Linked DNA regions of Xenopus tropicalis. The protein of the gene in region 2 purifies or fractionates together with the protein of the main gene of each other region. This does not show direct contact. Links are inferred from orthologs where the notes say so. Each region holds a gene or a part of one and is shown on either strand. Other genes may lie near its edges.

Evidence for each region. The genes of interacting proteins can lie anywhere in the genome.
Region 1: the proteins of mad2l1 (region 2) and kif20a purify together in Homo sapiens (affinity purification with mass spectrometry; 4 studies listed by BioGRID and IntAct, with this or other methods). This does not show direct contact. The link is inferred for Xenopus tropicalis from reciprocal best matches to the Homo sapiens genes MAD2L1 and KIF20A.

Annotation. Positions count from the first base shown.
Region 1 is NC_030679.2:47,845,250-47,849,353, reverse strand, and holds the start of kif20a (kinesin-like protein KIF20A), read right to left. Parts: upstream 2,806-4,104; 5' UTR 2,663-2,805; intron 469-2,662; 5' UTR 450-468; coding exon 291-449; intron 1-290. UniProt on the Homo sapiens protein: Mitotic kinesin required for chromosome passenger complex (CPC)-mediated cytokinesis. Following phosphorylation by PLK1, involved in recruitment of PLK1 to the central spindle. Interacts with guanosine triphosphate (GTP)-bound forms of RAB6A and RAB6B.
Region 2 is NC_030677.2:71,054,969-71,059,051, reverse strand, and holds the start of mad2l1 (mitotic spindle assembly checkpoint protein MAD2A), read left to right. Parts: upstream 1-1,279; 5' UTR 1,280-1,325; coding exon 1,326-1,395; intron 1,396-2,959; coding exon 2,960-3,106; intron 3,107-4,083. UniProt on the Homo sapiens protein: Component of the spindle-assembly checkpoint that prevents the onset of anaphase until all chromosomes are properly aligned at the metaphase plate.

The sequences.
Region 1 (4,104 bases), on a different chromosome or scaffold from region 2:
TGGGCTAGCTAAAAAGATCTGGCTGGAGGAGGACTGCAAAAGCCAGTGGATGTGGTCTGAAACTGACTGCCGACCCACATATTTGGTATTGGTTTGATTTGGCCATACCATCTGGTGACCTGCCCAAGCAAACAAATCTTTCTGTGTACAGCCAGCTTAGGTACGTAATAAGTATTTGTAAGCTCAAAAGTTATAGAACAAACAATACATAGAACAAACCTTGCTCACTCCTAGCAAGCTGTCCAGCATTGGACTGAAAAGAAACATAAGACTGGGTTGACTTTCTATACCTGGGGAGGATGGCCCAGTCCTGGTGAGATGACAGAGAAGTCAGACAGAAGTGCTTTTCGGATTCCTGCCCCACATTCAGCTGCAGTAGATTCAAACACTGGGTTCTCCTCATCATCTGAGAGCAGTCCCATGCCAGGGGATACAACATTGCTAACCATGATTATTCAGGCCCTGTACCTAGTAGGGAAAGTAATGGTAGCACTGAGTAAATGCAGAAAATCAAAGACTCAGTTGTGTGTATAGATATATCCAGCTGCTTTAACTTTTGCAAACCTGCCATGACCCTTAGGAGAGAAGTACTAACACAGAACTAATAGCACAGTATGGTGATATCTAATAATAAATCATGTCTGAACCACTACATTAAACAAAAAGTGAGTGTAATGTACAGTGTTTATGCTTTATGGGTGTGACTGACCTAATTCGGAGAGTATGCTAGTTTCATCACAGATATAAAGAGAGCAAGAAGGGTGTAGTGTTGTCCCTGGTAACCGCAACTTACAATATTTATTAACTGAAAGCTGTTGAATATAGGATTTCTGCAGCACAAGAATTAGTTAAAATTATATATATATATATATATATATATATATATATATATATATATATATATATATATATATATATATATATATATATATATATATATATATATATATAAACAGATAATACCATAATTTTAGTAGGTGTTGGAGAAAATCCCTTGTACAACACAACCAAAAATCTGTGTCAGACAACATCCCAGTGTTCCATTACCCTATGGTCTGCCCCACAGAAGGTGCAGGATAATAGAGACAGAGGAAACAATACTACTCATGTAAGAAAATGCCACTCATGATTGGCCAACATGCACCTTCCCCCCCATCCCCCTGAGGTGTGTGGCACCTAGAAAAATATAACTTGGACTAGTGCAATTTTTCAATAAAAACCTACACCAGCCTGGGTTCCAAAGAGTAGTGGTGATTTCCCTTACTGTAAGTAGCTCAACAAATTGGACTTTTGTAGTAGTGTTTTAACCTTTAGGTATATTTTAATCTATACAGGAATATAGTGTATAATTTGCTTTCATTATGCAAAAAAAACATGGACATTCCCTTTAAGACTTTTAGTATTAACAAAACATTCACTTCATATTTCTGTAATGTCTTGCTTACTAAGTCATGAATATAAATAACCCAATATCAGAAGTGAAAGCCACCACCTAAAAAGAAAAGATATTCAATATCATCTAAAAGAATGGAATGTGCACATATGAAAAGGCACATTCCATTTTCATAAGTCACTTCCCTATGACTTAGCAAACAAAACTACTGACACATTCTCAGGTTACAGTGCACTTAACATTTGCAATTTTAGAACAAAGACTTTTGTACCAGAAAAAAAAAAAAAAACAGGTTTAGAGTAAGTATACAGGAAAGGGACTTATTTACATGCAGTTAAACCTTTCCTTCACTGTATATAAATAGATTTCCTTCTTTCCAATGTAACCATATTGTTTAGGTGATTGGGTAGGTACTGTTAAAATTGTTAATAGCTATTAACTGTACTATAGTTAAAGGAATTCTGGTATAATTCATCTTAAGTATATGTTTCCCTGTGGACAAATTCCATGGGTCTATGATACAAAAATGTATATATATGTTTGTATACTCACACACAACACTTTCCTGACCTCTTTAGGCCAGGGCAGATGAATGACATTTTAGGAGCAAGTTACCATAAAAGTCCTGCATAGCGGCAAGTGACATGAGGGAATGGCAAAGATGGGAGTACTCAAAGCCACACTCACGTTATGCCCAGCACTGGCTTGTGACACACACTGGCACTTGAACACACTGTGATATTTGAAACTGCAGTCAAACACCTACACAACAGGGTAGTAGAGGCCAGTGGGAAATAAGCAGCCCTCCAGGGGATTTTATACCTCCCCCTTCATCCCCAGGTTCTTCATTACACAACATCATTTATATATATAACCCAGCCCTCAGTAATACATAATATCAAAGAAATGACTGACAATTCTTTTATCAGTACAGTGAATGCCTGACCCACTATATGGAAACAGACAGCACTTAGCTTTAGACAGCACTCCCACCATATACTTCCTGCATTACCCAGCAGACAAATAATAAATATAATACCCCTACTTTTGAACAACTCCCTGTATGCGTTACTAGTGGCAGCACAATAGATCGCCAGTCACTGGGACAACCTTCGTATGAAAAGATTATAAATACATAAATAATAAACCATATAGGGCAGATATCTAGACAGAAGAAGTAAACCTCAAAGCCAGTGAACTAAGAGGGATCATACCAAGGTACTGAATATAGAAACATATGTAGAATCTCCCAATTACAACAAAACTAACCTGTGTTATAATGACCCTTGGTATTACCCTGTGAGCCCCGGACCGAAACCACCGCCTCCCGGGACAGGCAGCTCTCAGCAGACTCGTGATTCCCGACTGTTGCTACTTTCCGAATTCAAACTAGGCGCTGGGGAATTCAACCAATCCTAAAGAACTTTGCTTGTCGCAGCCAATCGGATATTGAGAACTCTGTCATCCAATAGGCTTTCTAGTTAAGGAAACCTTGCTAGACTAGATGCGTGCTCAACCAAACAGTGCGATTATTGGATCTGGATGAAATAACCTGCCCTTTCTTCCGGCTCATACGGGAATCATTATTTCAACGTGTTGCTTTGTTTCAAACTGTTGTGCGAAAATGTGGTGTTTTTGTTTGAATTATTAAAGGTTTCGTTATACTGACAATTGCTAAATAATAGGGAAAAACTCATTTCTAACTACAAAACTGTACCAGTCTCTGTTTTAGCTTTTTATATAAAAACTATTTTCTGACTACAAAATTGTGCCAGTCTCTATTTCAGTATTTTATATTGCAGTAAGTATAAATACCAGTATTCTTTTATTTTCTTACACTAAAAAAAATCCAAGCATTTCTTCAAAATAACTAATGTATCTGACAGCATCCATTTCAGGGGAAAATTCTAGTTATGCGCCGAATCCCAGATTCAGTTTGGGATTCGGGCGGAATCCAGCCTTTTTATGATGGATTTGGTTTTGGCAGATCCAAATCACAATTAGCATATGCAAATTAGCATTCAGAAAGGGTTAAATTTTGGGAGGAAAATTTTTTTGAGCGGCAAATTTTAACCCTTCTGAATTACTAATTAGCATACGCTAATTTGGATTCGGCTCAGGATTCAACAGAATTCATTTTGGCCAAACCCAAAATAGTGGGTTCGGTGCATCCCTGCGAAAATTCCACAACTTTTAAAATCTCACCTAGGCATGAAACCTAACTGCAGCCCCCCCCCATGACATCACGTGCATCCCTGCACCTGATGTCCCAACTGTCACATCCACTGAAGATTCCATCTGACCCCTCATCCTCCCCCTTCCGCTGTTGGATTTATGCTGGAGTGTCTGTTGGCAGCTGGGAGGGTTACTTTTCTTTTTAAAAAAATTTAGGGATAATATAGACACCTGACTTACTAATAGGCATGAAGCGAACCTCAAAAAAAAAGTTCGCGAACCCGTTCGCGAACTTACGCCAAAAAGTGCGAAAGTTCGCGAACTTTGCGAACCCCATAGACTTCAATGGGAAGGCGAGCTTTAAAACCTAGAAAAGCCATTTTTGGCCAGAAAACTGATTTTAAAGTTGTTTAAAGGGTGCCACGACCTGGACAGTGGCATGCAGGAGGGGGATCAAGGGCAAAAATTTCTCTGAAACATACATTGTTGACACAGCGTTGCGCAAAAATGCAAGCTATTCCTATGTATACGCAAAG
Region 2 (4,083 bases):
AGTCGCCGGTGGGATGGCACACGCAGCGGCACAATTTCGCGCAAATTGCTGAAAAAGCCTCGCGAGGCAACTTCGGCGATATGCGCGAAATTGCGCCGCCGCGTGTGCCATCCCACCGGCGACTTACATTTTCGCCGGTGGGATGGCAGGGGAAGGCAACTGGGGGAGATTAGTCGCCCGCGAACAGGGAGTTTTGTCGCGGGCGACTAATCTCCCCGTGTGCCAGAGCCCTAAAGGTGGAAAAAGTTCTGAAATGATTTATCTTTGTCTCATTTTTGTACAGCACAGGAACCTGACATTTTATCAAGGGTGTGTAGACTTTTTATATCCACTGTAAGGAGCAGCAAGATAGAAAGGTTTAGGACGAATGTGCGCAGTTGGTGTTGATGGTGTAAAAAGACAGAGACGACCAGGAACGTGCAGAAACCAGCAAACAAAAATGTAGCAAAGAAATGTTCCCACAGCACTGCCTGTCAGGAGTATGCATGATCATGGGTCCCTGCCCCCCAGGCATAATGTCGCCACCTGGCCAGTATTTTACCAGCCTTGATACCAGGCCAAATGGGTAGGAATATTATTTTTTTTACCAAACAGTGGCACTGGTAACCCAACCCATGATCCAAAAACAGAAGAGCAGGGTAATAGCTCCCTATGAAATTGCCCATAGGTGGGTATGTGACAGGGAACTGCATGCTCCAACGGGATCGAGAACGATGTGAATTTTAAAGTCATAAATGTATTTTCCAGTGCCCTAAGTGTGTATACGTTTGAAATAAAATTTCTGCATAATTTGTTGTTCCTGTATGCTATATCGTAAAAATGTTAAAGTTATATACATCCAAGTCCAACGCGCTCCACGCCCACTAATATGAGCCGTACCTCTTACAAATCACAATACCATGTTCTAAATATATCTGCGGAAGACGTCTACAGAACTGCGAACATATGCTCCATTTATTTAATATCACCGACAACTGCCCAAATATCGATAAACACTGCGCCAATAAACTAAACACGTAGCAAACGCAGATTCGATTCAGTTATTCTAGCTGCAAGCAAATTAGGAAAGCTAACTTTTGATTGGTTGATATGAGCTACACTATTACCGCAAATTTTAAGATTTGCCCTCAGTAATGATGGCGAACATACGACGTCACGCAGAACGCATCTTTCCGGCTGGCTTTTAATTGGACCACAGGCTGCACATGATGTGACAGTTGTCCAATCAGAGTACGAGTCCGCCGTTGGTTTGAAGTGGAAGGCGCGTTAGTACTATCAGGACCTGAAAACTTTTGGAACCAATTCAGTTTTACAAGAAGGGTCCGATGGCCGGTCAGCTAACACGTGAAGGGATTACCCTGAAGGGTAGCGCTGAAATCGTGTCGGAGTTTTTCTGTAAGTGGTTGGGGAGGGGAAGATAACCCTTATTGGTTGCAATAGCAGTAGCTAATAACTGAGCCTTTGGCATGGCTGATATGGGGACATGGATAGAAAACGCACTGACAATTGGACTCATGCAGTAAAGGAGGGACTACACGAAAATATTTTGCTGACAGTGTGTAAAAGTCCACCCCACTATCTGCTTGCTGAGTAAAGCTGCAGCTTTGGCCAGATAGAGCATGTGATTTGGAAGTCAGGCATTAATTGGTCTCCACTGAGCATAATATCCTCTTAGAGAGAGAGACTGGCACAATATGCTGCTTAAAATCGATATTTATTAAGAACTCAATACATCTTATTCAGAGAACAACAAAGCCCTATGTGTTTTTGTGTCCCATCTGGGCACTTCATCATAGGCCAAATCATTCCTGTTTGCATAATATCTTCTTAGAGAGAGACAGGTTGGCACAAAACCAGACTGGAGTAGAACTATACTGCTTAAAATTGCTATTTATTAAATATGTAATAGATCTGTTTCAAAGAACAACAAAGCTATGTGTTTTGTGCTCCATCTGGGCACTTAGTCATAGGCCAAATCGTTCCAGTGTGCATACTCCTGCTTCCAAAGATGGCAGCCACCAGCCCTGCTGCACAACTCTGCAATTAGACAACTGATATTGTGGTGGCCTGGATTTTGTAGACATTGGCAGTGATGCAGTTGAGGGGAGGGGAGCTGCTGTAGGTGGATACAATTTAAAAAAAAAAAAGAGTATGTGGGGGTTAGTGCTTCTTTAAAATTTTGAAAAACAGCAAGCACAAATTAACTTTTTTTTCTACAATGCTACATTTGTGTTGGCTGGCCAAGATCATGCTCCTTTTGTAAGGGGTGGCTATTTGCATACACTGTAACGCTACCAAGCAATTACTTGGCACTAGATTAAATAAAGTCAATTGAATCTCTGTATCTTAAGTGAACTAAGAAAAGTGTTAACAATAAAACTGGATAGGGTAGTTTTGTCACCAATATGGATTTATGCAACTTAGTTAGGATCAAGTCAAAACACTATTTTGAGGACATCCAGTATGGTGGCCACAATTAGTCACTCCTAACATAGAAGTGCCTTACAGCTTAAGAAAATAACTGTCAGTGAAAACCTTAGCTCTGTTGCAGTAAGGCTATACTTTGTGAGGTAAAAATACTTGTACCTTATGGAAACTAAGCTACACAAATCCATATTTGAGACCAAATGATCCTATGGGGTTTATTTAATGTATAAATAACTTTTGCAAACATATGGTATGATGATCCAAATGTCAGAAAGGTCCCTTATCCCAAATACCCTATGTCCAAAGCATTCTGGATGCTATACCTGTATTTTCACTGTAATAATAACCGTAGCTGCATAAATTCATATCTATAACAATCTAGTTGGGTTTATTTCATGTTTAAATGTTTTTCAGCAAAATCAATTATAGAAAAAAACCCTTACCCAGAAAACTACAGGTCCCAAAAATCAGGATATTAATCAGTCTGTTTTTGATCATATGTTAATTTTTGTTTGTTTTTTTTTCTCCTTAGTTTGTGGCATCAATAGTATTTTATATCAGCGTGGGATTTATCCATCAGAAACGTTCACACGTATCCAGAAGTATGGACTTACACTGCTACTCACTACAGACCCAGGGCTGAAAGAGTATTTAAATAAAGTTACCGATCAGCTTAAAGGTTCTTATTGGGTTTTATACATGATCATATCTTTATTTTTTTTATCTTTCTGTATGGTTTTGTTTTTGAATAGTTGTGGGTACCTTTCCATTTTCACTAACATATCCTAGATATGTCAAGGCTATATGTGAGAAAATATGGTATGTGTTAATTTGGGCCAGACTTTACTTCAACATACACATGCTCTTATTGTTAATGTGGTCTTAAGGGTAAGAATCAACAGAGCAAGTAACTCGCTCGAGAGAGATTTTTGCTATCGTGGGCTAGTCACCGTTGAAAAGGCTTTCCACTGGCAACAATAGGAAGCCCTTCGCGTTGCTTCGGTTTTCCTCCTCCTTGGTGCGACTTCAGAGCAGTTACATGCCCGCGATAGCAGAGATCTATCTTGGGCTAGTAACTCACTCCATGGGTTCTTACCCTTAAAGGAGAAAGAAAGGTAAGATCACTGAGGGGTGCCTCTGTTAGGAGAAAGCTGCACTGGCCCTGGGTACCTGAGAGAGCGATTCTCTTATGTCTTCTCACCACTTGCGCATGCACAGTTCTGTTGGCTTTGGGATCATAAAGAAAAAAATGACAAGAGGAATAAGATTGCTGGTGCAGGTTTCTCCTAACAGGAACAGCAGCCGAGGGTATAAGGTAAGCATTTACAGTCACTGGGGTGTGCCTAACGTTTTGGCACTCCCGGTGATTTTACCTTTCCTTCTCCTTTAAGCTATTAAAACAGAAATTGATGGGACATTTGGGTACAGGGGGTATTTGTGATCATCAGCTGATCAAATTTCAATCAATTTTTGTAAGGCAGTTGGTTTACTGTTAAACTGGACTATATTAGGTCATCTTTGTTAAAGCTGCCACACCATACTGAACCTTTTGAGTGGATGTTTATTAGAGATAAGTCTACAGTGGGAGGGTTTTTTTCTTTTCTTTTTTTTTTTTTTTCTAAATTTGAACATAGGAATGCATTTCCAATATAAGCT